6 linked regions of the Canis lupus familiaris genome follow. The protein of the gene in region 5 interacts with the protein of the main gene of each other region in a pairwise test. Links are inferred from orthologs where the notes say so. Each region holds a gene or a part of one and is shown on either strand. Other genes may lie near its edges. The genes, in order: TFF3, NTAQ1, HNF1B, HNF1A, PCBD1 and FXR2.

The links.
Region 1: the proteins of PCBD1 (region 5) and TFF3 interact in binary tests that used the Homo sapiens proteins (3 or more experiments, as listed by UniProt). The two-hybrid records come from large-scale screens. The link is inferred for Canis lupus familiaris from reciprocal best matches to the Homo sapiens genes PCBD1 and TFF3.
Region 2: the proteins of PCBD1 (region 5) and NTAQ1 interact in binary tests that used the Homo sapiens proteins (3 or more experiments, as listed by UniProt). The two-hybrid records come from large-scale screens. The link is inferred for Canis lupus familiaris from reciprocal best matches to the Homo sapiens genes PCBD1 and NTAQ1.
Region 3: the proteins of PCBD1 (region 5) and HNF1B interact in binary tests that used the Homo sapiens proteins (3 or more experiments, as listed by UniProt). The link is inferred for Canis lupus familiaris from reciprocal best matches to the Homo sapiens genes PCBD1 and HNF1B.
Region 4: the proteins of PCBD1 (region 5) and HNF1A interact in binary tests that used the Homo sapiens proteins (3 or more experiments, as listed by UniProt). The link is inferred for Canis lupus familiaris from reciprocal best matches to the Homo sapiens genes PCBD1 and HNF1A.
Region 6: the proteins of PCBD1 (region 5) and FXR2 interact in binary tests that used the Homo sapiens proteins (3 or more experiments, as listed by UniProt). The link is inferred for Canis lupus familiaris from reciprocal best matches to the Homo sapiens genes PCBD1 and FXR2.

Annotation. Positions count from the first base shown.
Region 1 is NC_049252.1:36,523,256-36,528,039, reverse strand, and holds TFF3 (trefoil factor 3 precursor), read left to right. Parts: upstream 1-1,686; 5' UTR 1,687-1,728; coding exon 1,729-1,810; intron 1,811-3,169; coding exon 3,170-3,316; intron 3,317-4,570; coding exon 4,571-4,584; 3' UTR 4,585-4,618; downstream 4,619-4,784. UniProt on the Homo sapiens protein: Involved in the maintenance and repair of the intestinal mucosa. Promotes the mobility of epithelial cells in healing processes (motogen).
Region 2 is NC_049234.1:22,159,217-22,163,556, forward strand, and holds part of NTAQ1 (protein N-terminal glutamine amidohydrolase), read left to right. Parts: intron 1-3,266; coding exon 3,267-3,366; intron 3,367-4,340. UniProt on the Homo sapiens protein: Mediates the side-chain deamidation of N-terminal glutamine residues to glutamate, an important step in N-end rule pathway of protein degradation.
Region 3 is NC_049230.1:37,448,462-37,452,801, reverse strand, and holds part of HNF1B (hepatocyte nuclear factor 1-beta), read left to right. Parts: intron 1-3,744; coding exon 3,745-4,009; intron 4,010-4,340. UniProt on the Homo sapiens protein: Transcription factor that binds to the inverted palindrome 5'-GTTAATNATTAAC-3'. Binds to the FPC element in the cAMP regulatory unit of the PLAU gene. Transcriptional activity is increased by coactivator PCBD1.
Region 4 is NC_049247.1:17,156,065-17,160,404, forward strand, and holds part of HNF1A (hepatocyte nuclear factor 1-alpha), read left to right. Parts: intron 1-1,238; coding exon 1,239-1,438; intron 1,439-4,340. UniProt on the Homo sapiens protein: Transcriptional activator that regulates the tissue specific expression of multiple genes, especially in pancreatic islet cells and in liver. Binds to the inverted palindrome 5'-GTTAATNATTAAC-3'.
Region 5 is NC_049225.1:22,451,197-22,456,262, reverse strand, and holds the start of PCBD1 (pterin-4-alpha-carbinolamine dehydratase), read left to right. Parts: upstream 1-1,607; 5' UTR 1,608-1,719; coding exon 1,720-1,731; intron 1,732-3,542; coding exon 3,543-3,674; intron 3,675-4,117; coding exon 4,118-4,198; intron 4,199-4,737; coding exon 4,738-4,836; 3' UTR 4,837-5,066. UniProt on the Homo sapiens protein: Involved in tetrahydrobiopterin biosynthesis. Seems to both prevent the formation of 7-pterins and accelerate the formation of quinonoid-BH2. Coactivator for HNF1A-dependent transcription.
Region 6 is NC_049226.1:32,726,251-32,731,252, reverse strand, and holds the start of FXR2 (fragile X mental retardation syndrome-related protein 2), read left to right. Parts: upstream 1-1,537; 5' UTR 1,538-3,147; coding exon 3,148-3,282; intron 3,283-3,596; coding exon 3,597-3,649; intron 3,650-4,004; coding exon 4,005-4,098; intron 4,099-4,496; coding exon 4,497-4,568; intron 4,569-4,657; coding exon 4,658-4,806; intron 4,807-5,002. UniProt on the Homo sapiens protein: mRNA-binding protein that acts as a regulator of mRNAs translation and/or stability, and which is required for adult hippocampal neurogenesis. Specifically binds to AU-rich elements (AREs) in the 3'-UTR of target mRNAs.

The sequences.
Region 1 (4,784 bases), on a different chromosome or scaffold from region 5:
CGGCTTCAAACAGCTGTCCCTTCTGAGCCCGATTCTGGGGTGTTTGCGCTTTCCTGGGACCTGGCTCAGCTCCATGACCCTGCCGGGCCCAAGGATGTTGTGGGGAGTGGGAAGGCAGAGGTCCATCCAGAAGAGGCTCCCGGGGATTTTCTCTACAATGATCTTTTAATAACACGGCTCCTGTCATCTGTGAGCTCGGTGCACGCTCTCCTGCGGGGCGCAAAGCCAGGCCTTAAGACAACACAGACAGTGCTCTGCCTTCAGCCTGCACTTGTCTTGCAAGAGGGGTGCAAACCAGGTGGAGAGGGTTGGGTCCTCACGGGCTAGGCCTGGGCTGTCACAAGGTGGGACCCAACCCCCATTGCCAAGGCGAGCACAGCCAGGCCCCTCAGTCACCGCGTGGAGGACAGCTCTGTGGACAAACTCTGGGGTGCTCCAGGTCCCCCTCCAACCCTGCACCCCCACCTGGGCGCTGAGGTGACCAGCCAGGTGCACCTGCTTCCAGATCCTAGCTCCGCCTGGTCCATGAGAGGAAGCCCCAACGGGCACCTTATATTGTGAGCCTCAGTTCATTTCTCTGGACCATGAGCATAATTATTCCCATCTCGTTTTGATAGGTTGTGGTAAAATAATTTCCAGGATATGCCCTTCATTTAAAAAAAAAAAAAAGGCGGATGAGCAAATGTGTCTCATAAGTTCTCATTTGGGTTAAAAATGTGCTTGGAAAAGATAAAGAAAAAGAGAAAAAGAAAACGTGCTTGGATCTGGAGAAAACTTTTCTGGAAAAATACCTAAGAAAATGTTAAACAGGGCCGCATGGGTAGCTCAGCGGTTGAGCATCTGCCTTCGGCTCAAGTTGTGATCCTGGGGTCCTGGGATCGAGTCCCGCATCGGGCTCCCCGCAGGGAGCCTGCTTCTCCCTCTGCCTGTGTCTCTGCCTCTCTGTGTGTGTCTCTGATGAATAAATAAATAAAATCTTAAAAAAGAAAGAAAGAAAGAAGTGTTAAACACAGGTATCTCTAGACAGGGGAGGGCTTTATTTGGTATTGTCTGATTTTTTCAAAACCCACTGTATGCATCCTCTTGTTTTCAAAATATTACAATTTATTAAATTGAATTTCATTAAAATATTGTGTAAGTTTACCGAAGACGTTTATGAAAGTGTACTTAATGATAAAAATAAATCTTGCTGTCAACAATAAAAACAGAAAGGACGGGATTTTTAAGAATTTCGAGGAGGAAACGAGATCCGGGTGCACGGTGTGCCTGACTCGCCGGCGGGCCCCGTCTTTTCAGGTCCCCAAGGCCGGTCTGGGACTCCGGGCGCTGTGCTCACTGAGGAGGGAGCCTCCTGGACTGCTCCTGCCTGGGCTGCTGGCCACTGTCCGGCCCTGAAATGAGACTTCATCCTCTCCCCGAGGCCGGCCGAGCCTGGACCCACAGCCCTGCTCCCCGGAGAGGAGTGGAACCCAGAGACTGGAGTCTGGCCCCCCCGCTGCTTGCTACCGCCCTGGGGTCCGACTGCCTCTCGCCTTCAGGAAGACGAGCCGCTGGGGGCTGTAGGGCCCTGCGCCGGGAGAAGTAGGTGCGGCCAGAGCCAGAGGGAAGGGCCGTCCCCAGACAAACAGAAGCCAGAGGACCTGGGCAAACACAAGGGTATAAATGCGTCTTCTGGGCCGACGCGGCACGATCTCTGAGCGGTCGGGTCCCCAGAGCCCACCCGTGACCATGGAGGCCAGAGTGCTCTGGCTGCTGGTGGTGGTCCTGGTCCTGGGGTCCTCCAGCTTGGCAGTGGCTTACCAGGGCCTGGGTGAGTACTGCTCGGACTTCCTCTCCACTCCGTGGGAAGGAGGGGGCTGGTGGCAGAGTGGGGACAGAGGAGCAGGGGCAGGGACACAGGCCCCAGGCTCGGGGGGCCTCATGGGGGCTCGGGGCAAGGTGACCAAGCCCCCTCGTCCGTTAGTAACTGCCAATCACCGGACGCACACGGTCCCTCTCAGTAGCACCACAAACTGGATCTTGCTGTTTCCGTTTCACAGACAAGCAAACTGAGGCTCAGAAAGCGAGTGACTGGTCGTGGGCAGCCCTCCCGGGCAGGGCTGGAACCGGGTTAGAACCCAGGTCTGCCCGGCCTGCTGGCAGCCGCTGCCAACCCTATTGCCCCATCGCCCTCTCGGCCGCAGATTTCTGAATTACCATAGAGGTCTTTATGCGCTGTGCTGGCACGTTTATGGAACAGAAAGTCCGGTGGGAGCAGTTTCTTCCAGAACATTTTCGGTACACGCAGGCAGTTTTCACTCAGCGCTGGCACTGTGCCTGCAGGTGGGGGTGGGGGCGTGACTATCCCATCGACCCAAGTTTGAGGAAATTAGGGTGCGGCTCTTATCAGATGCCAGAGGCAGTGGTTCCCAGCTGGGGTGCCCCCCCGGGTCACCTGGGGAGCTGTGCACCTGCTGTAGCCCGGGATGCCCCCACCACGCCACACCGTCTCAGGGGTCCCAGTGGGAGCGACGTTCGGAGCTGCGGGAATGAGAATTTTCCGGGTAGCAGAGATAGGAGAGGATTTCGGGGATCTCCTGCGGGTTCTGTTTTCCTAAGAAAAATCCCGTCAGGCAACGAGGCAAACGTTGCAGAACTGGAGCCAACATAGGCTTGCTTGAGACACAAGAGTTGAGGATGGAAGGAGGTGCCGGGAAGGTGTGACAAACCGAGTAAATGGGGGACAGGGGGACACAGAAAAGGGGCAAAAAATAGCTCGCATTGTGGTCTTCTGTTTTGAGGGTGTATCATCTATTATACTATTTATTTTTTAAGGGGGGCAGTTTTTTGTTGCTCAAACAGTGAAGGGGAACTCTGTTTCTGGGTTCAGGGGCCCCCAGATTTCCAGGGGTTCCTGCCAGCTGGAGGGAACAGCGGCCCCGTGGGCTCCCCGACGGGGCCCTGGGGGCGCACGAGTGCGAGGGGCGCCCTGGCAGAGGCCAGAGCTCCCCCCGAGCGTGTGAAACCATCCACGGGCGAGGGTCGTCCTCAAGCAGATGCCGGGGTGGGGCTGGGGTCCTGCGCCTCCACCCCAGATGCTGGGGGAGGCTGCGCACTCGCAGGATGAAGTCAGCAGACCGACCCAGGCTGGCAAGGGCTCCGGGTGCTGACCGGGTGTCGTTTGGGACAGCGACGAACCTGTGCGAGGTGCCGCCCAAGGACAGGGTGGACTGCGGCTACCCTGAGATCACCTCCGAGCAGTGCGTCAATCGGGGCTGCTGCTTCGACTCCAGCATCCACGGGGTGCCCTGGTGCTTCAAGCCGTTGCAGGACACAGGTAAGCGGCCCCAGGGGGGAGCCCCCAGGTCCCCAGGAAGCCACGCACGCCCGGGCGGGACACCCAGCGCCGCGGCTTGTCCGGCGGTGGAGGCCTCGGTCAGAGGAGTCGTGCCCAGGGCAGTCGGCGGCCCGTGGCGGTCCCAGATGTCCCTCTGCTGAGGTTTGTGCCCAATCTAATAGCAGCTGTTCCGAAAAGATGTTCAGTCAAGGCACAACGTCGAGAGAACTAGTTTAAAGACTGTCTTGGAGGGAAATGGAAAATGCCCAGGCCTGGGAGGCCGGGCCAATGCCTGCAGCCGCGTTCAGCAAACACACCCCTGCCCTTGTGACGTGGTCCTGGCAGGGCCGACGGTGCAGCAGCGGGCACGGAGCCGGGTGCCCGTCCACACCCCGCCGTCTCCCCCCGCCCCGCCTCCACCGAGGGGCACAGGCGCCCTGTTCTTTTTTATTTTAAAGATTTAATTTATTCATGAGAGAGACAGCGAGAGAGAGTCAGAGGCATACAGGCTCCCCGCAAGGAGCCTGATGCGGGACTTGATCCCAGACCCCAGTGCCTCAGTGGTGCAGCGGGGGCGGGACACCCCTGTCCGCCAGGAGCAGGTGTCGGCGCATGCGGGTGGGTGCCGCCCTGGCTCCATCAGCACCCCCCACCCCAACATCTCAGGCGTGAGGCCTGCTATAAGCCACCTGGCTGTCCAAATGCCTTCTAAGGACACAGGCCCCTATTTGGAAGTAGGTCCCTTCCTGGAGTCAGTACCCGCCCCCTTTGTCCCAGGGTGATAAGGGAGTGGGGCCTCCTTGTAGCCGGTGCGAGCCGCCCCCGCAATCCCCATCGATGATGCCTGCCCCCTGGCCCAGTGCCCGGGGCCACCTGCCCCTTCCTGGCAAATCCAGGCAGAGGCCCACATAAGGTTTTGGGACCAGGAAGGGGTTGTCCATTGCCTCTTTGCTGGCTCTCCTCATTCCTTGGGGCCCCTCCATGTGGGGTGGGGGCTGAGGGTCCTACCCCTTCTCCTTCGGGGGCTGGCAGCCGCCCTGCTGAGGCCCATCTCTCCTATCACCTGCCCGAACCCCTAGGTTCCGGTGGGCTCTTCTTCGGAAGGTTGGACACTCAAAACACTTTCCCAGGGACTTGGGGTGAATGCAGCCCCAGGCCCTGACCTTGGAGCCTGTCTTGACCTTGAGAAGCCAGGCACCCGGTGGGTGGAGCCGAGGCAGGTCGTGGGGATGCAAGCCTGTGCTTTGTTTCCAGAATGCAGATTTTGAAGCAACGCCCTCGGCCCCGGACACCCTGGGAAGCAACCTCCCCCACTCCGGGACGCCCGCCTTGTCCCCTGGCTCATCCCTGCTTCTCTCTCACCCTGCTCCTGGCCAAAGCTAGCTCTGGGGCCTGATGTCTGAATGAATAAAGATCCCCGTACTCAGCACGAGGGCAGTTCCTCCTTCCTGAGACTCGATGCTCTTGT
Region 2 (4,340 bases), on a different chromosome or scaffold from region 5:
TGCTAAAAGTCGTTCTAAATTCAAATGAGCCATAGAATCACTTGGGAGCTTGTAAAGTGTGCAGATCTTAGGGTTCTACTCCAGAGAGTCTTGGTGTGTAAACAGTACAGTGGAGGAGTCTTACACTCGTCCATTGATCACGTTTTCAGGAATATAGGCATAAACAGTAAAGTCTGTCTCCTGAGCATATTCAGAGATCTGGTCACTTGTGTTTCTGCAATCTTATTTTGAGCCTGCCTTCTATGCCCTAACCCAGGGTTTCTCACCCATGGCTTTATTGACATGTGGAACGTGCTAATGTTGTGGAGGGCTGTTCTGTGCATTGTAGGCTATGTAGCAGCATCCCTGGCCTCCACTCACTAGAAGCCTGTAGCACCCTGCCCCAATTTGTGACGAGCAAAAACGTCACCAGATAGTGCCAAATGTTCCCTGGGGGGCAAAATTGCCTCAGTTAAGAACCACTGTTCTATCTTGTCTTAATCTATCAGATAGTGTACCTTATTATGTTTGCTCCTGCAGGTTTTTATAACTTGGAATAAGTGCCTCCTCTCTGTGTCTTTTAGCTTCTGTCAGATGTTATTTATCTGTTCAGACCCAGCTGAGTGATAATAGTGGTAACCAGTATTTGTGTGGCACTAGGTGGTTTGCAGAACATGTCTGATTCTCTTTGTACTCTTCAGATGTTGGTTGAGCTCCTCCTGTGTGCCAGGGATCCTTACCTTCATGCTTCTCTGATCTCAGCCCATCACCAGTAATCCTTGCAGAATCTTGACCTTAATGCTGCGTTGTTAGTTTTTCTGCTACAACAAAGTAATCAACCAGTAGGTTGGAACGTTATTATCACAATCCCCCCCCCCCTTTTTTAAAGATTTATTTATTTATGATAGGCATAGAGAGAGAGAGAGAGGCAGAGACATAGGCAGAGGGAGAAGCAGGCTCCATGCCAGGAGCCCGACATGGGGCTCAATCCCGGACTCCAGGATTGCTCCCTGGGCCAAAGGTAGGTGCCAAACTGCTAAGCCACCCAGGGATCCCCCCCCCTTTTTTAAAGAGGTGCTAGGATTCATACCAAATCTGGGTTTCTTCCTATTCCACCAGTAACCCCAGCATTTCCAAGTATAAGTACCCCCCTCAACCTTTTAAAAGTAGGCTCCATGCCCAGAGTGAGCCCCATGCAGGGCTTGAACTGATAACCCTGAGATCAAGGCCTGAGCTGAGATCAAGAGTTGGATGCTTAACCGAATGAGCCACCCACCCAGGTGTCCCCAGGCCCCCTTTTTTTAAACATCAAGTTTCTTGAGATCCTCCTACATGTTATTAATTGTACTCTTGGGAAAAAAATTGATAATAAAAAGGGGCTACAAATTCAGTGACTCTTAGTTTAAATTTTTATTTCTCTTTGTAACATTCACACATATTTGAAAGATAATAGACAAAGTTTGTCCAGCCACGTACATATTCAGCCTGCCAACAGTACTTGGGGTACACACAGATTCTTAAAATCTTTGTGTTAACCCTGTGCCCATCCTTAGGCCTGGGGGAAGGGCAACACAAGGAGAAACCCCTGACCTATATGCCCTCCATCTTCCTGTGCCCCTCAAAATCAATGACGCTTCCTTCTGTGCATCTTTTATGGCCTTCTATGATGCTTGCTTATTTATGGATCTGTATGTCTTCTCTCACTGTCTGCAAGCTCTAATTTATCATTACATTCTCCAACCACTTAGCATGGTGCTTTTATATCATGGGTTCTTGATGTCTTTGATCAACTCAAGAATGTCTAGAGGCTGGACAGACATGTCTTCTAAAAATGTGGTCTTAGAACATCCAGGGTTTTTTTTTTTTTTTTTTTTTAATTTATTTATGAGAGACACACACAGAGAGACACACAGGCAGAGGGAGAGGGAGAAGCAGGCTCCATGCAGGAGCCCAATGTGGGACTCGATCCCGGGTCTCCAGGATCACGCCCTCGGCTGAAGGCAGCGCTAAACCACTGAGCTACCGGGGCTGCCCAACATCCAGGTTTTTTAAAATGTAGCTAATACACGTCATATGTCATGTTGAAACTGTACCTTTTTGCTTACCCCATACTACATAGCCTATGGAAGTAGTAGCAGTTTCCTGTTTTTACCTCTGCCACTACTTTTTCTGTTAAGATTTCTTAGGTATCTTATAGAAAAAAATCATAGGAAAAAAATACACTTCATTTCGGTGCTTTAAATGTAGTCGTGCAGGTAGACAAGGTCAAAACTGCATTGAACGTGTGTCATAAAATGGTGGTAGTCCTTAGTGCCGTGTATGCCTTACTTTATTTTCAAGTGGCATAGTGTAGGTGTTTGGAAATTAGACTTTGACAGTTGAATCATGAGTATGAGCAGAGTGTTGATGCAGGTTGTTTTGAACGAAGGTGCTATGTGCCTCATTGAAAAAAAATAATCCAGGGGCTGAGCTGTGAATACTGCCAGCAGTGAATGTTTTTACCTGTGTGGGAGTGTGCCTGTGGCCACCAGTGTGGCTTGGTTTGATGCACTTGGCATTGCTTAGGTGGTTCTGACTACTGTTTTAAATATCTAAAGGCCTGTCATAGAGACATTTATCTGGGGCTGAAATATAGGAAGGTGGATTTTAATTCAGTATGAGAAAACTTTCTAAAAGTCAGGACCTCTGTTGTACCAGAGGGATGTAGGGAATCCCACTCAGAGTCTCTCTCCAAAAGAATTCCTAGGCATATCATGTAACTGCCCTCAGTCCTTTCCAGCCAGAAGCCCTCCTACCCAAAACATTATTCTTGCCCCTTTCCTAAGGGGAGCAGTGAACCAATATTAACTAAGATTTTTCAAGTGTTTAAAATATGATTATCCTCATTTTACAGGTAAGAAAAGTAGATACTCAGGTCAAGATGTTCAAAGCTTCTTACCTTGTTTAAGTGGCTGAGTTGGAATTCCAGCTGTGTCTCGAGTCACTGGACCCAAAGCTGTGGAGTATTGATGTAGCATTTTATCAGTTATAAAATGCCTCCATTTGCAAACACTGCTGGGGCAGGTAACAACTGCTGTGTTTGGAGAGAGCTCAGCACACAGTATAATTTGGGTAACACTTTGTTGGGGATATTTTAGAGGAGGGTCAGGCATCAGCTAGTTATTGAATGAGGTGGTGTTTAAAATCTCTTCCAACTTTTTAATATCCTCATCAGTCTTCTGTTCAAATTTGAAAGACACAGAGAGTCATTGTATAATTATGTTGATGAAACTATTATTTTATTTCAGTGAAGAAAATATCTGGAAGCTCTGTGAATACATCAAAAACCATGACCAGTATCCTTTAGAAGAGTGTTACGCTGTCTTCATATCTAATGAGAGGAAGATGGTAAGTTGGTGACTGATTGCAGAAAGAGAACAAGAGATTTAGGGTGATAGTAGAAACTAAATATAATATATGGGGTCAGTGCTGTCCTAACGTGCTTTATAAAATAAAATAACATTTTAAAGTTTATTTTTGAATGAGATTTTTTTTTCCCCTCATTTCAGGGCACAGTTGAGTTAGAAAAGTTAAGTCCCTTATTTGTAGGTCAAGAAATAGATGATGGTGTATTTACACAAGTTAAAGCTTTTTAAATTCCTTAGACTACAGCCATGTACTCTCAGGTTTGAAGTAAAGATGTTTTTGTCTCTGGAGTTTAAATAAAATTATGATAAACTTACATGAATTATTAAAAAAGCAAACCCTTAAAAAAAAGCCCTTAATATTTTGTAAAGCACCTTTTAAATTTTTTTTTAAAGATTTAGATTTTTAAGTAATCCCTACACCCAATGTGGGGCTTGAACTCACAACCCCGAGATCAAGAGTCACACACGCTACCAAATGATCCATCCTGGAGCCCGTAAAGCACTTTTGTAAGCATCATGTCATGCTAATGGAACCATGATAAAGTAGGCAGGGTTCAGATGGCTGTTTCTGTTTTATAAAGGAGGAGATAGAGACTCAGGGAGCTCCCATAACAATCTGGGAAACTAAGACTTGAGAATCTGCCAGGTCTTCTGATTCCCTGTTGAGGTCTCTTTCTACTCTCCAAAGAATATCAGATAATGAATTCTTGCATTTTCATTGTTAAGAATGCTTGGAAGGATTTAGATTTCTTCATTCACATTGATTGTTGGTTGCTTAGAAATATTTTATATTTTATTTATTTTTGAATTTTTAAAAATATTTTATTTATTTGAGAGAGAGAGAACATGGTAGAACATGAGTGGGCAGGGTGGAGCAGAAGAAGAGGGAGAAGCAGATTCTCCACTGATCAGGGAGCCTGACTCAGGTCTTGATCCCAGGACCCTGGGATCATT
Region 3 (4,340 bases), on a different chromosome or scaffold from region 5:
GGATTTTTTTCCCTCTCACTGGAGGGCTGCTTTAAAAAATCATTCCTGTTTTCTGCCATACACTGCTCTGAAGTGATTGTTTGAGTATTTATTGTCTCAGTGTCCGTGGGCCAGAAAGGCCTTGGAAAGGAAAGTGGAAGGAAAGTTTTTGGACATCCTTCTCATGTGGTGGCTGTTCGTTAGTGCATTAAATGAATCTACAGATTAGAAGCAAAGCCTCAGCTCTTTGCTGCATAGGAGAAGAGGCCCCCTTTAAACTCTGGGTTGATTCACCATCCAAGGTGGCCACATTCTTAAGAATTTGTGTTTCTGACATGAAGCAACTCTCTGTAATTCCTGGAAGGTCTGAGAACATTCTCAGAAGCCACAGTCTCCAAAAGCCAGAGAACATGGGCCTGCTCTCACTCCAATCCAAGCCTCGTGTGGCATCTCCAGTTTGAACTGCTTCCCTGTGTTCAGTGGAAATTCTCTCAGAAAGGAGAGGAATACAGGAAAGGCCAGCTAGAAGCCATAGAAAAAGATACACGTCCCAGAAAGTTTCTCAAGATGCTTGAGAAGAGATAGTTTACAAAAATATATGACAGTCCCTGCAAGAGATTTTTAAAATTACCATTATTATCATTTTAAAGCCATACAAGACATAAACCTTAAGAAATATTCCTTCATTCTGTAAATATTATTTGAACACCTATTAGGTGCCAAACACTATTCTGGGCTGTGAGATGCACAGGCTTTTTCTACAAGTACTTACCACCTAATGGGGGAGATGACATGTTTGAGTAAATAATGACAGCTGCTTTCTAAGAGCTGTTATAAAGATGTACACAAGAGGCAGCAGAGGAATTGCTAAATGGCCTGAAGAGATCACAGAGGGCTTCTTAGAGGAGGGAACGTTGGAACCAATTCTTGAAGGATGAATACAAGACACTCAAGCATGGGATAAAAATTAGCAAGTGAGATGGAATGTGTAGGAGAAAGGGGGGAGAATTTTAAAAGAGGACATAAATTTTCTCGAAAAACTAAAAATGGTAATATCAGTGATAATATTTGTGGGCCCATCTATACATAGAGAATCTGCTTGTCCAAGCTGGCTCCCGAGCCTATAAAGAGGTTGCTGAAACCAGCTTCTCCAAGTTAATTTTTGTAGGCAGCAAATGTTTTCTGTCTCCCTGCTTCCCTCTGTTAATCTAGAAGGTGAGGAGAGGTGGTGGTGGCTGGAGGATGAGACGAATTCTAGTTCTTTAAAACTTGAGGGGCTAGGACCCTGAGGTGGGCAGAACCTGGATATTTCCAGGCACCTACAGTCAAGTCATCCTGGCCTATCCTGGTATATGCTGGGTCCTGAACATCATGCAGGCTGCCTCGTCGGAGGGCGGCCAGCAGACAGAGGCAGCCTTACACTCCAGGCAGCCATGAGTGAGCCTCACACCCACCACAGACAGAACCTGAGTCAGTTTTTTGTTTGTTTGTTTGTTTGTTTGTTTTTAGTCAGTTTTATTACCTTCACCCAAGTCAGACTTTTAAGGTTTTGTGGATGTATTGTTTGGCTTTGGTTTTTAGCAAGAAGTGATGCATAGGCTGCTGATAAGTAGCCCCAGTGTCTGTAGGCTGGGCCCATGTCTGGCCTGTGCCCCACATCCATGTGACTTTGGGCAAGTCACATAACCAGTGTGAACCTCAATCAGCTATAAGATGGAGAAGACAATACTTCTTGCATGGAGAGGGTGTGAGAATTAGATGGAAGGATATGGTCAGGGGACCTTGTATGATACCTCCCCTCGGTATAGGTTCATTGTCATTACAGAGCCTCATGTGGGTCCTGGGTCCTTGGGATTATCCATAAAGCTTTGGCTCTTACTCAGGGTGATGCCACAGGGAGGAGGGAAGACCCTGAGACAGACCTCCTCTGAGCAGGGAGCTTCTTTCTCTCCCTCTTACTGTCCCTAAGATAACTGTAGGAGCTGGTGGCCATGGAGACCAAATGACATAAGACGTGTGAAAGCACTTTGAAAAACATGGCCTCCCTAGGAATTTGGGTCCCCATCATCATCCTGACTAAAAGTAGATGTTCTGAAAGACTACTGAATGAGTACTAGGTTTTCATCCGGTCCCATCCCACAGGCAGGGAAGCTGCAAGAGGGAGCAGTTAGGTGACACGGCTGGGGTCCTCCATTAGTCAACTGAAGCAGTGGCTTCCTGCCAATAGATCTAGAAGAGACTGTCTCAGGATATCTAAAAGAGTTGTTGGGAATCAGTGAACACAGAGCCGTAAGTGGCCTGAGAATCATCCAAATCGAAGGCCCCAGTGACATAGTCCATCCGTCAAGGAGACTGCTTAGAATTTGGCCCATCAGCAACCAGTTCACACAAAGCCCAGCACCGCCTGTAACTGAGTCCTCAGTCCAGGCTGGTTAGAGGCCCACTGTTTGAGGATGGACCAAAGTGGAAATGGATCTTAAGATTGGTAGTAAGTTCCCCATCACTGGAGGTCCCTGTGGTAGGGTGTCATAGAGGGGATTCCAGCATTAAATAGTGGCCCAACTATGAACCTTGGAGAATTTTGGATCAAGTTGCCTCTGAGACCTGTAGGAGTAACTCCAAGAACCAAGAAAGAAAAACATCAAGGTCCAGAAGATAGGAACCAGGAGTTAGGAAATGAAGTTGCTATGTGTCCTTGCTCAGCAAGGTGGTTGGCCTCTATGCTTATTCATCTGTAAAATGGAACTAATGACTCTAAACCCTGCTTTGTGTAGATACAAGGAAGACAATAACAAAGTTCTCTTATCCCACAAGTAAATATCAGATCTCATTTAAACCATATGAGCTAGGGTATCCCCACAGGGTGAACTGCCACCTTTCTTCCATTCGTTCAACAAAAAATATATTGAGGGTCACTATATACCTGGATCCTGGGAATTGGAAGGACAGGGAGCAGCACTTCATCTACATTTACTTTTGTCCAACTCATGAAATGCCATTGCTAGAAAGGTCCTGTGTTTGCAGTCTTCTGCATTTGCCATCTTTCAGAAGTGTAGGCAAATCTGTTAAGACCTTTCCCTCACCAGCTGTTCCCCTCATAAATGAACCCCCTGGATACACATACACACACACACACACACACACACACACACACACACACACACCATTGCCTTTGAAGTTATCTGAAACCAGAGAGCTTCTTTTCTTTCTATTATAAAACTTCACTTATATTTATTTCAAAGTAATAGTGAACAGGTTTTGGGTCTTGGGTGTTTCTAAGAACATAACATCATAATGTAGATACCTAGGATACATGAGGAGAGAGGGGAAGTGGGGAGAGCCTATTTTAGTCTCTAAATATTTTGTCTAAGTGAAAATTTACCTTTGAGCCTTTACCTCTAGACCCAAGACATGGTTGAGCTCATCCTCTTGGACACCAAAATGCAAGAGTTCAGGATTCCAGAGGGTTGCTTCATGTCTGAGGGCCAGTGAGCCAACGAAAACACGTTGCCACTAAAACAATGGTTGGCCACATTTGAGCTCCTTCAAACAGAGAAAAGGGTTGGCTTTGGTGGAGCAAACTGAGGTGGGCAGTGAGGGGACCTGTGGTGGGCTTTCCCCCTCTGTACTCGCACACACATACAACAACTGCCGATGGCAAAACTTAGGGGAGGGGAATAGCGGTGTTTTTGTCTGTCTGTCTGTCTGTCTGTCTGCCAAGTGAAGGCTACAGACCCTATCAAATCTACTCCTTTCTCTTTTCAGAATTCAACCAGACAGTCCAGAGTTCTGGAAATATGACAGACAAAAGCAGTCAGGATCAGCTGCTGTTTCTCTTTCCAGAGTTCAGTCAACAGAGCCAGGGGCCTGGGCAGTCCGATGACGCCTGCTCTGAGCCCGCCAACAAGAAGATGCGTCGCAACCGGTTCAAATGGGGGCCCGCATCCCAGCAAATCTTGTACCAGGCCTACGACCGGCAAAAGAACCCCAGCAAGGAAGAGAGGGAGGCCTTAGTGGAGGAGTGCAACAGGTAACACCACCAGAAGCTCACTTGAGCAGGTGGGCAAGCACATGGACCTGAAATCCATCCCTTCAATCCAGGGATACTGACGTACTGGTTATCCAGCTAAGTGTGGCTACAGCAGGGTTTCCCAAAGTGTGTTCTATGGCACCCTGACATCAAGTTATTTTTTTTTTAAAGATTTTATTTATTTATTCATGAGAGACATACACAGAGAGAGAGGCAGAGACACAGGCAGAGGGAGAAACAGGCTTCATGCAGGGAGCCCGACACGGAACTCGATCCCGGGTGTCCAGGATCAGGCCCTGGGCTGAAGGCGGCGCTAAACCGCTGAGCCACC
Region 4 (4,340 bases), on a different chromosome or scaffold from region 5:
GAGCTTCCTCAGTGCATTTTAATGGTTGCATTGCCTGGAGGCACCGCACACAGTAGCCTTCTGCTGGACACTTAGGTTGCTTCTGATATTTTGCTGTGGCAAGCAACACGGTGATGAACTGCCTCTGACACATGCTCTTTGTCACACGTGCAAATGCTTGGGAGGTCCTGATCCTAGAAGCAGATTGCTCAAAGGGGTGAGAACCTCAGGCTTGGAGCCACACAGAGCTGGCATCAAGCCCCAGCTCTGCCTGTTTCAGCACTGTTGTACGGAGCTGCTTTCATCATATTTGTAATCGGGCTCAGGAGAGGACCAGGGCAGGAGAGGAGGGTCGAGCCAGAACAGGAGACGGAGAGAGAGACGTGCAGTGTAGGCAGTCAAGCCTGTCCCCCTGCCATTCCCCACAGTGAGCAGAGGACAGGAGTGTGATCGTAGATGGCTGCAGATCCCTTGAGTTTCTCCAGTGAGAGGCTCTCAGCCCACAGAATGAGATTCGGGTGCTCAAACACACATGTTTTTTTGTATGAAGCCTCTGAAGACCAGCCCCGTAACTCCATCACCTGGACCTGGCTGCCCCTGTGCTGTAGGGAAACTGGCCAGGCCACAGCCTGGGGTTTAGTGCAGATTTTCAGGAGGTGTCTTGACTCTAGGTGATTTTTACCCCATAGATTGACTTAAAATGGAATCCCTTCAGGTGGAATGGGACTGTTGGGCTGGCTTTGTGACCTTGGGCAAAAGATACAAGCACTCAGCATTAGTTAGAGAATCATGTTTCTCTCCTTGTTTTCAGACCCATTTTTTCCCCAATAGATCTCCCTCACCCATCCATTCATACAGCCATACCCCATCCCCATATCCATCTACCCCTTCCATCCATCCATCTACTGTCTATTAATCCATCTATCCATTCATCTATCCACCCATCCACCCATCCACCATCCCATCTACCTACCCATCCACCCATCCACTCATTCATTCATGCATTCACCATGGACATACATTATGTCAAATCCATTTTGGGTGCTGAGAACCGTTCCTGCCCCCACAATGTTTACAGGCTCTCCCAGTGGATAAGACATAGTCACAAATAACACTTCCAGGTAGGGTGAGGGGAGGATCCTTAAAGGAGGTACAAAGGTGAGGACAACCCCCACTCCCAGGGCTCACGGGCCCCCCAGCCGTGCCGGCACCACTCCCGCACCCCCCTTGCTGAGTAGGCTCTGTCTTTGTCCTCTTAGGGAGGACCCGTGGCGCGTGGCCAAGATGGTCAAATCCTACCTGCAGCAGCATAACATCCCACAGCGGGAGGTAGTCGACACCACTGGCCTCAACCAGTCACACTTGTCCCAGCATCTCAACAAGGGCACCCCCATGAAGACACAGAAGCGAGCTGCCCTGTACACCTGGTACGTCCGCAAGCAGCGAGAGGTGGCCCAGCGTAAGTAATGACCACAGCCCCGTCCTCCCTGGCAGGGCCCTGGACTCTCTGCAGCTCAGGGGTGGGGACTGAGAGCTTCTCCACCACATTACCAGGACTGGGTGCTTGGGGGGGAAGTCAGGGATTCAACGGGCACTTCTTACCTATTCTGTGCAAGGCACTCTGGGGAGGGGAGTAGGTTGGTCCTAGGTATTTGGAGGTGCATGAATTAGATCTCTGCCTTCTGGGAACTCTGCGTAGAGGGGAAGCCGAATAGATCATTATGATACAGCGAGACAAGTATTATAATATGACAGAAACAACAGTAACAGCTGGTGTTTGTGAAACATTCACCACGTGCCAGGCCCAGTGCACAGTAGTACTACATAAAGTATTTCAAAATACCGAGCCAGCAGAGGACCAGAGAGTAATCTGTTCTTCCACAGGGAGGCAGGGGCATCAGGAGGGACCACACAGAAGGAGAGCTTTCAGACTAAGTCTTAAAGTCTGAGTGGAGTTTTGGCCTATGGAGATGCAGGGAAGGGCGTTTTGGGCAGAAGGAGTGGCCCAAGTAGAGGCTCAGCGGCAAGGGAGGGTTTTCTTACTGAGACTTCACACCCCACAAAATCCCAAGTGCACTTTCACATTTTTGAGCCTATGTGTAAAAAAAAAATGTTTTTAAATTTATTTTTAATTATCCAAGTTATTTTTTAAAAAGGTAACACAGGGGCACTTGGGTAGCTCAGTGGTTGAGCATCTGCTTTTGGCTCAGGTCATGATCCTGGGGTCCTGGGATCGAGTCCCACATCAGGCTCCCCACAGGAAGGCTGCTTCTCCCTCTGCCTGTCTCTTTGCTCTACTTCTCTGTGTCTCTCATGAATAAATAAATAAAATCTTAAAAAAAAAGGTAACAAACTTAGTTTCAAAAAATAGGAGAAAATAGAGTTTACAATAAAAATCAGGTGTCCTCCTAAAGGACATTCCCAGTCTTATGTATCCTTCCAGAGATATTTTATGCATATACTAGCAATAAATAATATATATTTTTTTCTCTGCTCTTTGAAGGGCTGCTAGCTATTCCGCTATTTGGAGGTACCATATTTGTTTAACTGGCTCCCTACCAAAGTACTTTTAGGGTTTTTCCAATGTGCTGTTATAACCAACTGCTTCAGGGAACATCCTTCTTTGTATATATTTGTGTTCTCACGAGACAGTGTCTGTAGAGTAGTTCCTAGATGTGGAATTCTGGGTCAGAGAGTAGGTACTTTAAAATCTTTGCTAGATATTCCTGTAGTCCTTTATGAAGACATGGTCACAATTTGCATGTTCAGTAATTAAAAAAATAAGCTTTTCTCCCCATGCTTCCTAAACATTTATTAAAATATTAAAGTTCTCAAATTCACATATTGGTTTGCACACTCATTAATATTCATTTATTTACTTATTATTTATTTTATAAGCTGGAAAGTTTTCTGGGTCTTTTTTTTTTCAATTTGGAAAGTTTATTAAAGTGAAAAGTGGGTAGTCCCGGTGGCTCAGCGATTTAGTGCTGCCTTTAGCTCAGGGTGTGATCCTGGAGAACTGGGATCGAGTCCCACGTTGGGCTCCCTGCATGGAGCCTGCTTCTCCCTCTGCCTATGTCTCTGCTTTTCTCTGTGTGTGTGTCTCTCATGAATAAATAAATAAAATCTTTTTTTAAAAATAAAGTGAAAAGTATACTATTGAGATATGAGAGTAGGTGAGCTTGAGAGAAAGAGCAAGCTACACCTCATTTAATATTTATTATTAAAAAAAACAAAAAAATATTTATTATTAATTAATTAATTTTAATTTTAATTTTTAATTTTTTAAAATATATTTTTAAAGACTTTATTTATTTATTCATAGAGACAGAGAGAGGCAGAGACACAGAGGGAGAAGCAGGCTCCATGCAGGGAGCCCGGGTATCCAGGATCACGCCCTGGGGTGAAGGCAGTGCTAAACCGCTGAGCCACCCAGACTGCCCTAATTAATTAATTTTAAAATAATTTATTTATTTGACAGAGAGAGAGCACGAGCAGAGGGAGTGCAGGCAGAGGGAGAGGGAGAAGCAGGATACCCATTGAGTAAGGAGCCTGACTTGGGGCTCAATCCTAGGACCCTGGGATCATGACCTGAGCCAAAGGCAGACACTTAACTGACTGAACCACCCAGGCGCTCCTAAATATATTTTTTAAAGATTTATTTATTTATTTGAGAGACAGAGTACAAGTGAGAGGGGTAGAGGGAGAGGGAGAGAGTCTGAAGCAGATTCCACACTGAGCGCAGAGCTGATGAGGAGCTGGATCTTAGGATCCTGAGATCATGACCTGAGCTGAAACCAAAGTTAGTCACTTAACTGACTATGCCACCTAGGGGCCCCTATTTATTATTTTTAAAAGATTTTTAAAAAAGATTTTATTTATTTATTCATCACACACACACACACACACACACACACGCACACAGAGGCAGAGACACAGGCAGAGGGAGAAGCAGGCTCCCTGTGGGGAGCCCGATGCAGGACTCGATCCCAGGACCCCTGGATCACCATCTGAGCCAAAGGCAGATGCTCAACCACTGAGCCACCCAGGTGCCCCCCACCCTTTTTAGTATATGTGCAGCTGAAGTGAGCATGTGTCCCTAATTTTTTGTATGTGTCCCTAATTTTTAAAGATTTAATTTTTAAGTCCTCTCCATACCCAATGAGGGGCTCCAACTCACAATCCTGAGATCAAGAATCACAAGCTCCACTGACTGAGGCAGCCAGGTGCTCCCCCTCATTTTATATCTGTTGAGCATCTGCTACTTACCATTTTCTACTGAATGCAAAAAGCAACTTTTAAAAGCTGTGATGATCGTTTATATAATTTATTTTTTAAAACTATGATATTGGTAGGGGCAC
Region 5 (5,066 bases):
TTAAAAAAAAAACAAGTTAAACATACGCTCTGCCCCATGACCTAGCCATTCCACTCCTAGACATTTACCCAAGAAAAAGGAAAGCATCTAAATGGACTTGGACGGGAAGGTGCACAGCAGCTTTATGTGTAATAGTGAAAAACTGCAAACCACCCAAAATGTCCATCAACAAGTGAACAGATCAACAAATTGTGGTATATCGATACAACGTAACACTACAGAATAAATCTTACTTAGCCCTAGAAAGGAAGAAACTATTGATACATGCAACCACAGGGGCGAACCTCAAAGTAATTATGTTGAGTCCTAAGAAGCCAGACACAAGAGCATACATTGCACGGTTTGCATTTACATAAAATCCTAGGAAATGCAACCTAACGCATGGTGACCGGAAGGAGAGGAAGGGTCGCCAGGGAGGGAAGGGAACGTGCAGGGACGCGGGACGCGGGGTGTGTAAGAGCTTGCACGAGAGCTCACAACTGCCAAAGGCATCAAACTGTGCACTTTAGTTAGGTCACCACGTGAACCTGGTGCTTTTAAAAAATAAAGAGGTAATGTCGCGTCCGGGGGGACACGGCCCCGTGAGCGGCAGAGCGCAGATCAGACGCAGAAGTCCGCGCCCCGGGGCCGCCCCCCGGCCCCCGAGCTCCCGGGAAACGGAGCCCGGAAGAAAGTGCTGGAAGGGGCAGAGGCCGAGGTAGCGATTGCCCGCCCTCCCCGCGGCCCGGCCCCGCCCCCTCGCGGCCCCGCCCCCCTCGGCCCGGCCCCGCCCCCTCGGCCCGGCCCCGCCCCGCCCTCCCCGCGGCCCTGCCGCCCGCCGCCACCTGCCGCTCGGCCGCGTCCGCACCTGCGCCCGGTCCGCACCTGCGCCGCGCCCGCCATGGTGAGGGGTCGGGGCGCGCGGGGTCCGGGGGAGGAAGGGCGGACCGCGGGCCGGATCGCGGGGCCGGATCGCGGGGCCGGACCGCGGGGCCGGACCGCGGGGGCCCGTCCCTGCGAGCCCCTCGCCCGCCCCCGGGCTCCGGGAGCCGTTTCCCCGCCCCGCTGCCACCCGCGCCCCCGGCGGTGGCCCAGCGCGAGCTGAGCCCGGGAGAGCGGCGGTGGCGAGAGCGGCGGTGGCGCGGCCGGGTGACAGCGAGCCACAGCCCGGCCCGGCCCTGCTCCCGCCCGTGTCCCGGGGCGCCCCGCTGCTGCACGCGGGGCGTGGTTTTGGGTGGGGGTGGAGAGGCAGCTGGTGAGCCCGCAGACACACACCCCCACCCCCCCAACCGCCGAGGCCGGTTCTCTTGCACGGTGAGGGGAGGGCGCGTCTGTGTGTCTGAGTGTGAGTAGCGGGGTGGTCGGTTCTATGCTCCTCTGCCTTCCGGGCCCGCCCTCCGTGCACCCGGGCCTCAGAGCCTGCCCCCGTGCCTCGCTTGAGGCCAGGGGGGCCTGATTGCACGGGGTCAGCGCTCCTGCAGGCGGGGTGTCCCCCAGGAGGGCCCTGGCCCTCTGCTCGGGCCCTACTTCAACACCCTTACCCTCGGGGAGGTGAAGGGGAGCCCTGGCAGGGGAGGAGAGGAGCCTCTAGACCCAGGACGGCTCTTCTAAACAGCCTGTCTCTGGTCCCGAAGCCTCAGGAGCAGTCAGGACTGCGGTGACAGCTGAGAAGGCACTTGGAAAGCTGTGGCTTGGAGGGACGGCCAGAGGCCAGTTGTGTGGTGCACAGAGGCCCCAAAGATGCAGGGCAGGGTGGGTAATCAGTAACCCGAGCGAGTGCACACTCCCCCAGATGGCCTGGGCCAGGCCTGACCTGTGATTTACTAAGCAAACACTGCCCCTTCCCCCACTTGGATTCCAGCTCTCAGAGGGGCTGGGCATGTCCGCCCCAGGCTGTGAAACTTGGGGGATCCTGGAGGACTCTCAAGGGCAAGGGGTACCTCCTAGGAGCTCACCGGTACCCACCTACTTCTTTCTGGGCCAGAGAACTAATAAGCAGTGGGTTCTGATGCCTGGGCTGACATCATTCATCAGGTTGCCTGGATACACTGACCAGGCTTATCAGCCACTGAGAAAGGGCCAGCTCTGGAATGGAGCAGGGGTTGGGCACAGGATGCAGATCTCACAGAGCCAAGCTCAAGCCAGATCAGTCAGGAGAAAACAAGTGTTTTCAGGAGGGAGGGAAAGATTGACTTAGAGGAGGCTGCAATGCTTTCCAGTTGGACCCCAGGCCTGCAAGGCCTATCAAGCCAGCCGGCCCCAGGGAGTCTCCTTTAACGGATGCAGATGGCACCCCCTTAGTAACAGGGGAATTTACTGAAGTGTCCCACTGGCTCCTCTTGCTGATCTGAAAGTGGAAGTTCTGGGTCCCTTCTGGCTCTGGAGCCCAGGGAGGTGAGTGCCCCAGGGCCACCTCACTGGAGAATGGCAGATCTGGGGCCTGAACCAGTCCTGCCAACTCCCCCCAGGGCTGCTTGTGAAGCTAAATTAACCTCCCTCCCATCCTCCACCCCACTTAGTGGCTCGCTTTCCCTCAGCCCTCTGGAGTTTCTGTTTCAGCAGTTTCAGTGCTGGGATCCCTGATGCAGTGCCTAGGTCTGGATCCACCCCCCCAGGAACAGAACCGGCTTTTGCCTCCTTCTGTGCCTGAGGGTTCCACTCTTGGCCCATACCCTGCAGGTCTGGGCTGCCTCGAGGGCACTTTGCACACACAGTAGGTCAACAGGCTGAGGCACTAGGTTTGCCAGTCGCCCTCGGCCAGGTTAACTTCCACTTTGGGTCTGAGCTCTGGCTCAGGCTCCCCAGGCTGACGGAGTAGAAGAGAAGGTGGGGATCTGGAACCCCTAGGCCTGGCAGCTAGTACTGAGGCTGCATGGGGGCATGATGAACACCCACTGGGAGGTAGTTCCAGGGAGTGTCAGAGGTGGTGTGGCCAAGAATCAGCTGGAAGGTGTGGTCAGTGCTGGCTCCTTTCCCTGGGGGGCCTGGGATGCAGACTCAGACCCGCTTTGAGAATGATGCCTGTGCTCACGGGCTGAGGGGGATGTGCGTGTGTGTTTGTGTGGGGGAACCGTGCTCTTTTTCCCTTTCCAGGCCTAGATTCCTTGAGTAGAAGGGTGGCCATGGGGGTGAACTGGATACAGTCCACAGCAGGAAAAGGAGGCTTAGACCGTCGTGGGTACTCTTTCTGAAAAGTTGGGTAGTAACACATTTGCATCTGGGCTTGGTTTTGCTTTTACTCTCATTATCGTAAGAAACCTATGGGGCGGGGCTCTGTCGGGCTTTGGGAGCAGGGGTTGGGGGGTTGCTGAGCCCCAGTGACTTACATCACACCTCAGGATTTTCTGACCTCTGAGCAAAGTGTCAAAACCTAAGAACCTATCAGTATGTGAGCCAGGGCCCCACCTCCAGGGCCGGGTGCCACCGTCAACAACTCCCTGTGGTTGCTTTAGGCTGTGCCCCCCCAGAGCACCCGCGGAGGTTGCCTGAATGCCCCTCGTGACCAGGGCCCTCCCCTGGGTCCTGTAGAAAGAAGGCCCGTGGGCCTCTGTTGCCTCTCCTAGGCTGGCAAAGCGCACAGGCTAAGTGCTGAGGAGAGGGACCAGCTGCTGCCAAACCTGAGGGCTGTGGGGTGGAACGAGGTGGAGGGCCGAGACGCCATCTTCAAGCAGTTCCATTTCAAAGACTTCAATCGGGTATGTCAGCGGATGGGACAGTGTCTGAGACTGGGGCGGATGGGGTTCTCTCCCTCAAAGCCCTGCTACCCAAACTACCCTAGTCAGGTTGACTTCGAGTGTCACCCCTGGGGAGTGGGAAGCTGGGATCTGGGTTCTCCATATACCTGGAACTCTTAGAAACGATCCTCAGAGGAGATGGGTCAAGTAGGATACAGAGGTACATTTTAGCAGATAACCAAAATCTGGCCAAGACTCAACACCTCTGCGGTGTTTCCACCGTAAGGCAGGGTCCTAGAACAAGACGTTCCTCCTACTGAAGGGCCACCTTGAGCTGCAGTGCAGAACCAGCCATGGGTTGCTAGGGGGTGACTGAAGCTGGCCAGTCCGGCTCCCGCACCTAGGCCCTGCACCACCGGCCTCCCTCTCAGAGTGCTAACCTGCGTCTCACTTCACCACCGCAGGCTTTTGGCTTCATGACGAGGGTGGCCCTGCAGGCTGAGAAACTGGACCACCATCCTGAATGGTTTAACGTGTACAACAAGGTGAGCGGTGCGTGCCTGCCGTGGCCGGCCCGGCTGAGTTCTGAGGGCCCTTCCTAGGGCTTCCCTCAGCGCCTCCCAACCAAAGTTTGCCTGTCTGCCCCTCCTGGTCCTTTGGGCTCTTTCCTAGAATCATCAGGAACACCCCTGCCAAACGGTCAGGCTCACTACAAATTAAAGAATTGCACGTGGAAACACTGAGAGGACTCGCGGGCGGGGTAGACAATAAGTAGACGATAAGAAGGCGGAGCCCACAGAAGGCAAGGCTGTGGGGAGGGGCCACGGTCCCTGCTGATAGCTCCCAATGGGTTAGATCCTCCTGGAGGTGCGGGGGAATGAAGAAGTAGGAACCTGAGCTAAGAATGAAAAAGTAGGAACCACGCTCCACAAGCAGACAGGACTGACTGCAGGCGAATGCGCGCGGCCATTCAACAGCCACCACGTGCCAAGACGGGAGGGTTTGCACTGCTGCTAGTGACTCTTGGGAGGAGCCCCCAGGGGAGAGAGGGGTGCCAGGGCCCGTATCTCTGGTTTGATTCCAGGTCCACATCACCCTGAGCACCCACGAGTGTGCCGGCCTTTCGGAACGGGACATAAACCTGGCCAGCTTCATCGAACAAGTAGCGGTGTCCATGACCTAGGCCCCTGCCTTCCTCTCTGAACGCTTCAGGGGAAGGGGGTGACTGAACTGGGAACCCAGGGAGGGAATCGGGGAGCCCTGAGATGTCGCTGCAGCCAGAACTGCCGAGTGGACCCTGCTGTGGAAGGAGATGCCAGCGCCAGCACCGACCTTTCTTCCCCACACCCCTCTTCATCCCCAGCGCTCTGTCACACGCTCGCTCAGCACCATCTTCCCTTGCTGCAAGACTTC
Region 6 (5,002 bases), on a different chromosome or scaffold from region 5:
GCAAACTTTGGTGTGGGTCAAGGAATGTTTACATTGCTTCTAGAACTATAAATTTGGGGAGGCCCCTTTCTCCTGTCTCAGAATTGGGTCCTGTTTTTGATCATCTTCCACGATAGCACTGCACATGTCAGATCTGGAATATAAGTTATCCTGTAGCTATCCCACCAACTCTTCATTTTCTCCGGTACCTAAAAGTGTTTTAGTCTCTAGGTTGTACTCTCCTCATGAAATATCTGTTCACCTTTCAGGGCACAATCAGCCAACGTTCCAGACCTTGCCTGGATGTCCACATTCCTCTTCCTGTCTTAAGGAATACAGCATCCCCAGCTTCAAGCTGTGGTTTTTATCCAGACCCCTCCTGTTTTTCTCCCAGAACCCCCTCCTTTCTTTTGAGAGTCCAGGACTAGAAGATAGGGTAGAGGTGGGGAATAATTTTCTATCTTATTTAAGGAAACAAGTATCTAGAACGCTTGGGTACTCTTCCTCTTTCTGGTCCTAAGCCCTTTAAGCCAAAGCCGGGATATGCTGCAGCCACTGAATTGAGTCATTCTTTGGATCTAGTTGGCTTTCTAGAGATTGATTCACCTGCTCCTGCTCTCACCTGCTTATCTCTCACTTTCTACCACTGGTATCTTTGGAGGAAAAAAATGGATGATGTGGGTGAAGTTAACATGAGTTTGGGAAGAAAACTTGTTCTGGTGAGTATTTGAAGGAAAAAGACCCTAGAAGTTTAAGATTGTGTGGTGTTTGGTTGAACTGCTGAGTAATGTGAGGGGAAACTCCATTCTGAGCTATTTCTGCCTTGGGGACAGATAGTGGTAGCTAGGAAAAACAGGGTGGTAGTGCTACCTCTCCCTGAGGGCTAACCCTAACATGTTGGGGGAGAATGGGATTAGAACCATGGGAATATCCTTTGCGAAGAAGTATATCTAGGAGCGGGAATCTCTTCTTAAAGGAGGCAGACAAGTGATTCTCTTCTATCTCCTCCATGCTTTTTATCTCATCCCTAAAATGTTTTGAGAAGAGCTAATCCTCTCTTAAACTATTTTTCAAGTTTAGGGACAGACATTTTGGATAAAGAATTGGATAAAGAAAAAAAAAGAATTGGATAAAGACAGAAGGAGCTAGGTAAAATGTTTCTAGAAATCCACACAGACCCTCACAGAGGGAGAAAAGAAAAGGAAAGTGATGCTGTTAGGAGGGGAGGGTGGAGGATGCTCAAGGAGCTGAGAACCCAAGGGGGAAGAAGGACTCAGGCAAACAGTGAGGAGTGAAAATGCCTCAGAAGACTCGTGTGTGGAATAGCAAGCTTGGGTATAGGTGGAGCTGTACAAAGAGTGGAGAAAACATGGGGAATGGCAGAGAAAACGAAAGCACAGCTGAGCAGAAGGGCAGGCACCAGGAGGACCAGATGCCTTGGGCAGTAGTAAAGCTCTGCATAGTGAGGCGCCGCAACAAGATCTGATCCCAAAAGAAGAGAAGGATGGCCAGCTGGTATCAAAGAATGAAATCTGAGTTTTGGTTTTCCCACCGTAAGGAAACAGCAGTATAGTAAATGTTTACGTTCAACCAGTTCATTGAGGTGGTAATGATAGAAGTGTGCATTTTCGGTGTTTTCTCTCCTAAGCTCAGCTGTTACGCATAGCTGCAGAGTTCAGGAATGGTTCTTGTGTGTTAGACTTTTTGAAATCCCTAAATTTTTTTAAAAAGATTTATTTATTTGAGGCAGGGAAGGGCAGAGAGAATTTCAAACAGACTTACTGCAGACTCCCCGTTAAGTGTGGTGCCTAAAGCCCGGCTCGAGCCTACCACCCCAAGACCATGACCTGAGCCAAAATCAAGGGACAGACACTCAACCCATTGAGCCACCCAGGCGCGCCAACCCCTAGTTCTTTGTTAACAGTTTTATTGAGGAATAAATATTGAAGTGCATATGTTCGAAGTATAAACTGAGAGGTTTTGACTTAGATACCAGTCTACATATCTATATAGATACGTGTCAAACCATTACCACAATCAAGATATTTCCATCACTCCCAGTTCTTTCAACCACCAATCTGCTTTCTGTCTGTTGGTAATATGTTAATTTGCACTTCCCTGATTTTTGACAAAAGCAAAAAGGCAATTCAGTCGAGAAAGGGTAGTCTTTTCAACAAATAGTGCTCAACCGGACTGTCCACGGGTAAAAAATGAACTCTGCATATCTTGCACCATGTACAAAGTTTAACTCAGAGCAGATCATAGATCTAAATGTAAAATAAAAACTACAAAACTTAGGACGCCTGAGTGGCTCAGCGGTTGAGCGCCTGCCTTTCTTTGGCTCCGGGGATGATCCCAGATTCCCCGGTTCAAGTCCCGCATCGGGCTCTTTGCATGGAGCCTGCTTCTCCCTCTGCCTGTGTTTCTGCCTCTCTCTCTCTCATGAATAAATAAATCTTTTTTAGAAAAAAAGAAAAAAAAACCTACAAAACTTGTAGAAGAAATAGGTGAAAGCTTTGGGTGTTGGATTGAGCAAAATTTTCTCAGGAAACCAAAAGCTCAGTTAGAAAAGAGCAAATTGATAAATTGGACTTTCAAAAACAACAATCCCTAATTTTGAATATGTGAAAATTAGAGAAGGTAGAAAAATTGGGAGCATAGGATTGAACATAGAGCTTGCCTGTCTTTGTTGAGATAGTAGGAAGTGGACCAGCTATTCAGTCATCCCTGTTCCTCTCCCAAGTCATGGTCTCAATTTGGGGTGTGGGGGTCTTACCCTTTTCAGATTCGTAGCAGCGTGTCATAGTCTAGCATTCAGAAATCTCACATATCCTAAGTCCTGATTTCTCCTTCTATAAATTGTGTTCATCCTTTTGAACTTCAACAGTGTTCCAAGAATTCACTTAGGACCCAGGCACGAAGGCACCGAGTTTGCTCAGGTCTCTTGCTGCGTTGGGGAGCTATACCCTTTTCTCTCTTGGCAGATCCTGATGTCCTCTAGGTGTTCCAGGACAGCCTCACACTGTCTCATGGGATATTCTTAGCCTTGCTGAGTATTGTTGGTATTTTAATTGAACTCTGGCAAGTTGCTCAGCACAACAGGAGGCAGATAGATAGGGAGGCCCCTGTGGGAATTATAGTAGACCCATCAGTCTCCAGGCTGTTCTTATGCAGGTGATGTTTTCCCCTTCTGTGTCATTTGTCTCATCTTATTTGTGGATTTTGCCAGTTGTCTTTCCATGTCAGTGTCATTTCTTTTGTCCCTGCCTCAACTTCATATTCTTGCCCCAGTCCCCAGTACAGGTAAGTTTTTCTGGTCCTATCTTTAAATTTCTTGTGTCTCTATCTAAAACTCTAGGTAACCGTCTCTTTTCCCTTGATGGTAGTAAATTGTCGTTTTCTTTCTTTCTTTCTTTCTTTCTTTCTTTCTTTCTTTCTTTCTTTCTTTCTTTCTCTCTTTCTTTTTTCCCTTCCCTTCCCTTCCCTTCCCTTCCTTTTCTTTTCTTTTCTTTTCTTTTCTTTTCTTTTCTTTTCTTTTCTTTTCTTTTCTTTTCTTTTCTTTTCTTTCTTTTCTTTTCTTTTCTTTTCTTTTCACTTTGTTCTAAAATCCATTCTAGGGCTTTGTGAAGGATGTCCATGAAGACTCTGTCACCATCTTCTTTGAAAACAAGTAAGACCTTGGGAATAGAGAATCCAGCATACTAGGTCCTAGAAGGAGAGTGGAGAAGAGGGGGCGGCTGAGTCCTATGAGGCATGTAATAGGTGGGGGAGAGCCAGGGGTGTGGGTGGTCAACTTATATAGACCCCAGGAGAGGAATGGGCTGAAATGTGTGTGTGTGGGGGGGGAAACGGTTGACCTAGTATTTGGATTCTAGCAGGAGACAGAAGATACAGTGGAGCAGGGCTTAGAATTTAGCCTCTAATCACCAGAGAAGGTGGGAACTGCCCAGCAGAGGCAGTAACCCCTTCCTGAAGAAATAGCAACATGATCCCAAATAGCTTTCATGTCACGGTTTCCCTTGCAGCTGGCAGAGCGAGAGACAGATTCCTTTTGGGGATGTCCGGCTCCCACCTCCAGCTGACTATAATAAAGAGATCACGGAGGGGGACGAGGTGGAGGTAAGAGCCAGGGCTCCACCCCTTCTAAATGTCACTTTTTCCAGGATTCTGTGGTCTCCCTTGCCCTGAGACCAGTATCCCAGGCTCTCCTCTGGTTGGTTCACTCTCCTCCCTCTGAAACCCAGCCCAGTAGGCTGTGGAAGAGAGAAGTGCACCAGCTCCCTTTCCCTGTTGTGATCAAACTCAGGGAGCTTCCCAGTTTCAGGGGAGTTACTTTCCCGTTATGGTGACAGCACCCTCTGGGCTTTTAATTAGCTCCTTCCTCGTGTCTCCTTTGTTGTGGTATAATGTGCTTCCCAGGGTCTGAAAGTTGCGTTCATGATGTTTTCATTTTTTAATTTTTTTTCGTTCGTGATGTTTTTAGCTGGGCCTCAGTATCTCTTTATTTTCGGCTCCAGGTTTATTCTCGAGCCAATGAGCAGGAACCTTGCGGCTGGTGGCTGGCCCGGGTGCGGATGATGAAGGGAGATGTGAGTGATGGGAAGCACGGACCATAGTCACAGAAAAGGGGGGGGACAGACGCTCAGGTCATCCACACTTGTTTCTTCCTTTCTGCCAGTTCTACGTCATCGAATACGCTGCCTGTGATGCCACTTACAATGAGATTGTCACCCTGGAACGGCTCCGGCCAGTTAATCCCAATCCCCTTGCAACCAAAGGCAGCTTCTTCAAGGTTACCATGGCTGTGCCTGAGGATCTGAGAGAGGCGTGAGTCAGGGACATCGGGATGGGGGCTCCGTTGACAGTCCTCCTGTTGGCCCACCTTTCTCCCAGGCCCCTCTTATTTTTGTTTATTTGTTTTTAAAGATTTATTTATTTATTTATGGGGTGGGGAGAGAGAGAGGCAGAGACACAGGCAGAGGGAGGAGCAGGCTCCATGCCGGGAGCCCGATGTGGGACTTGA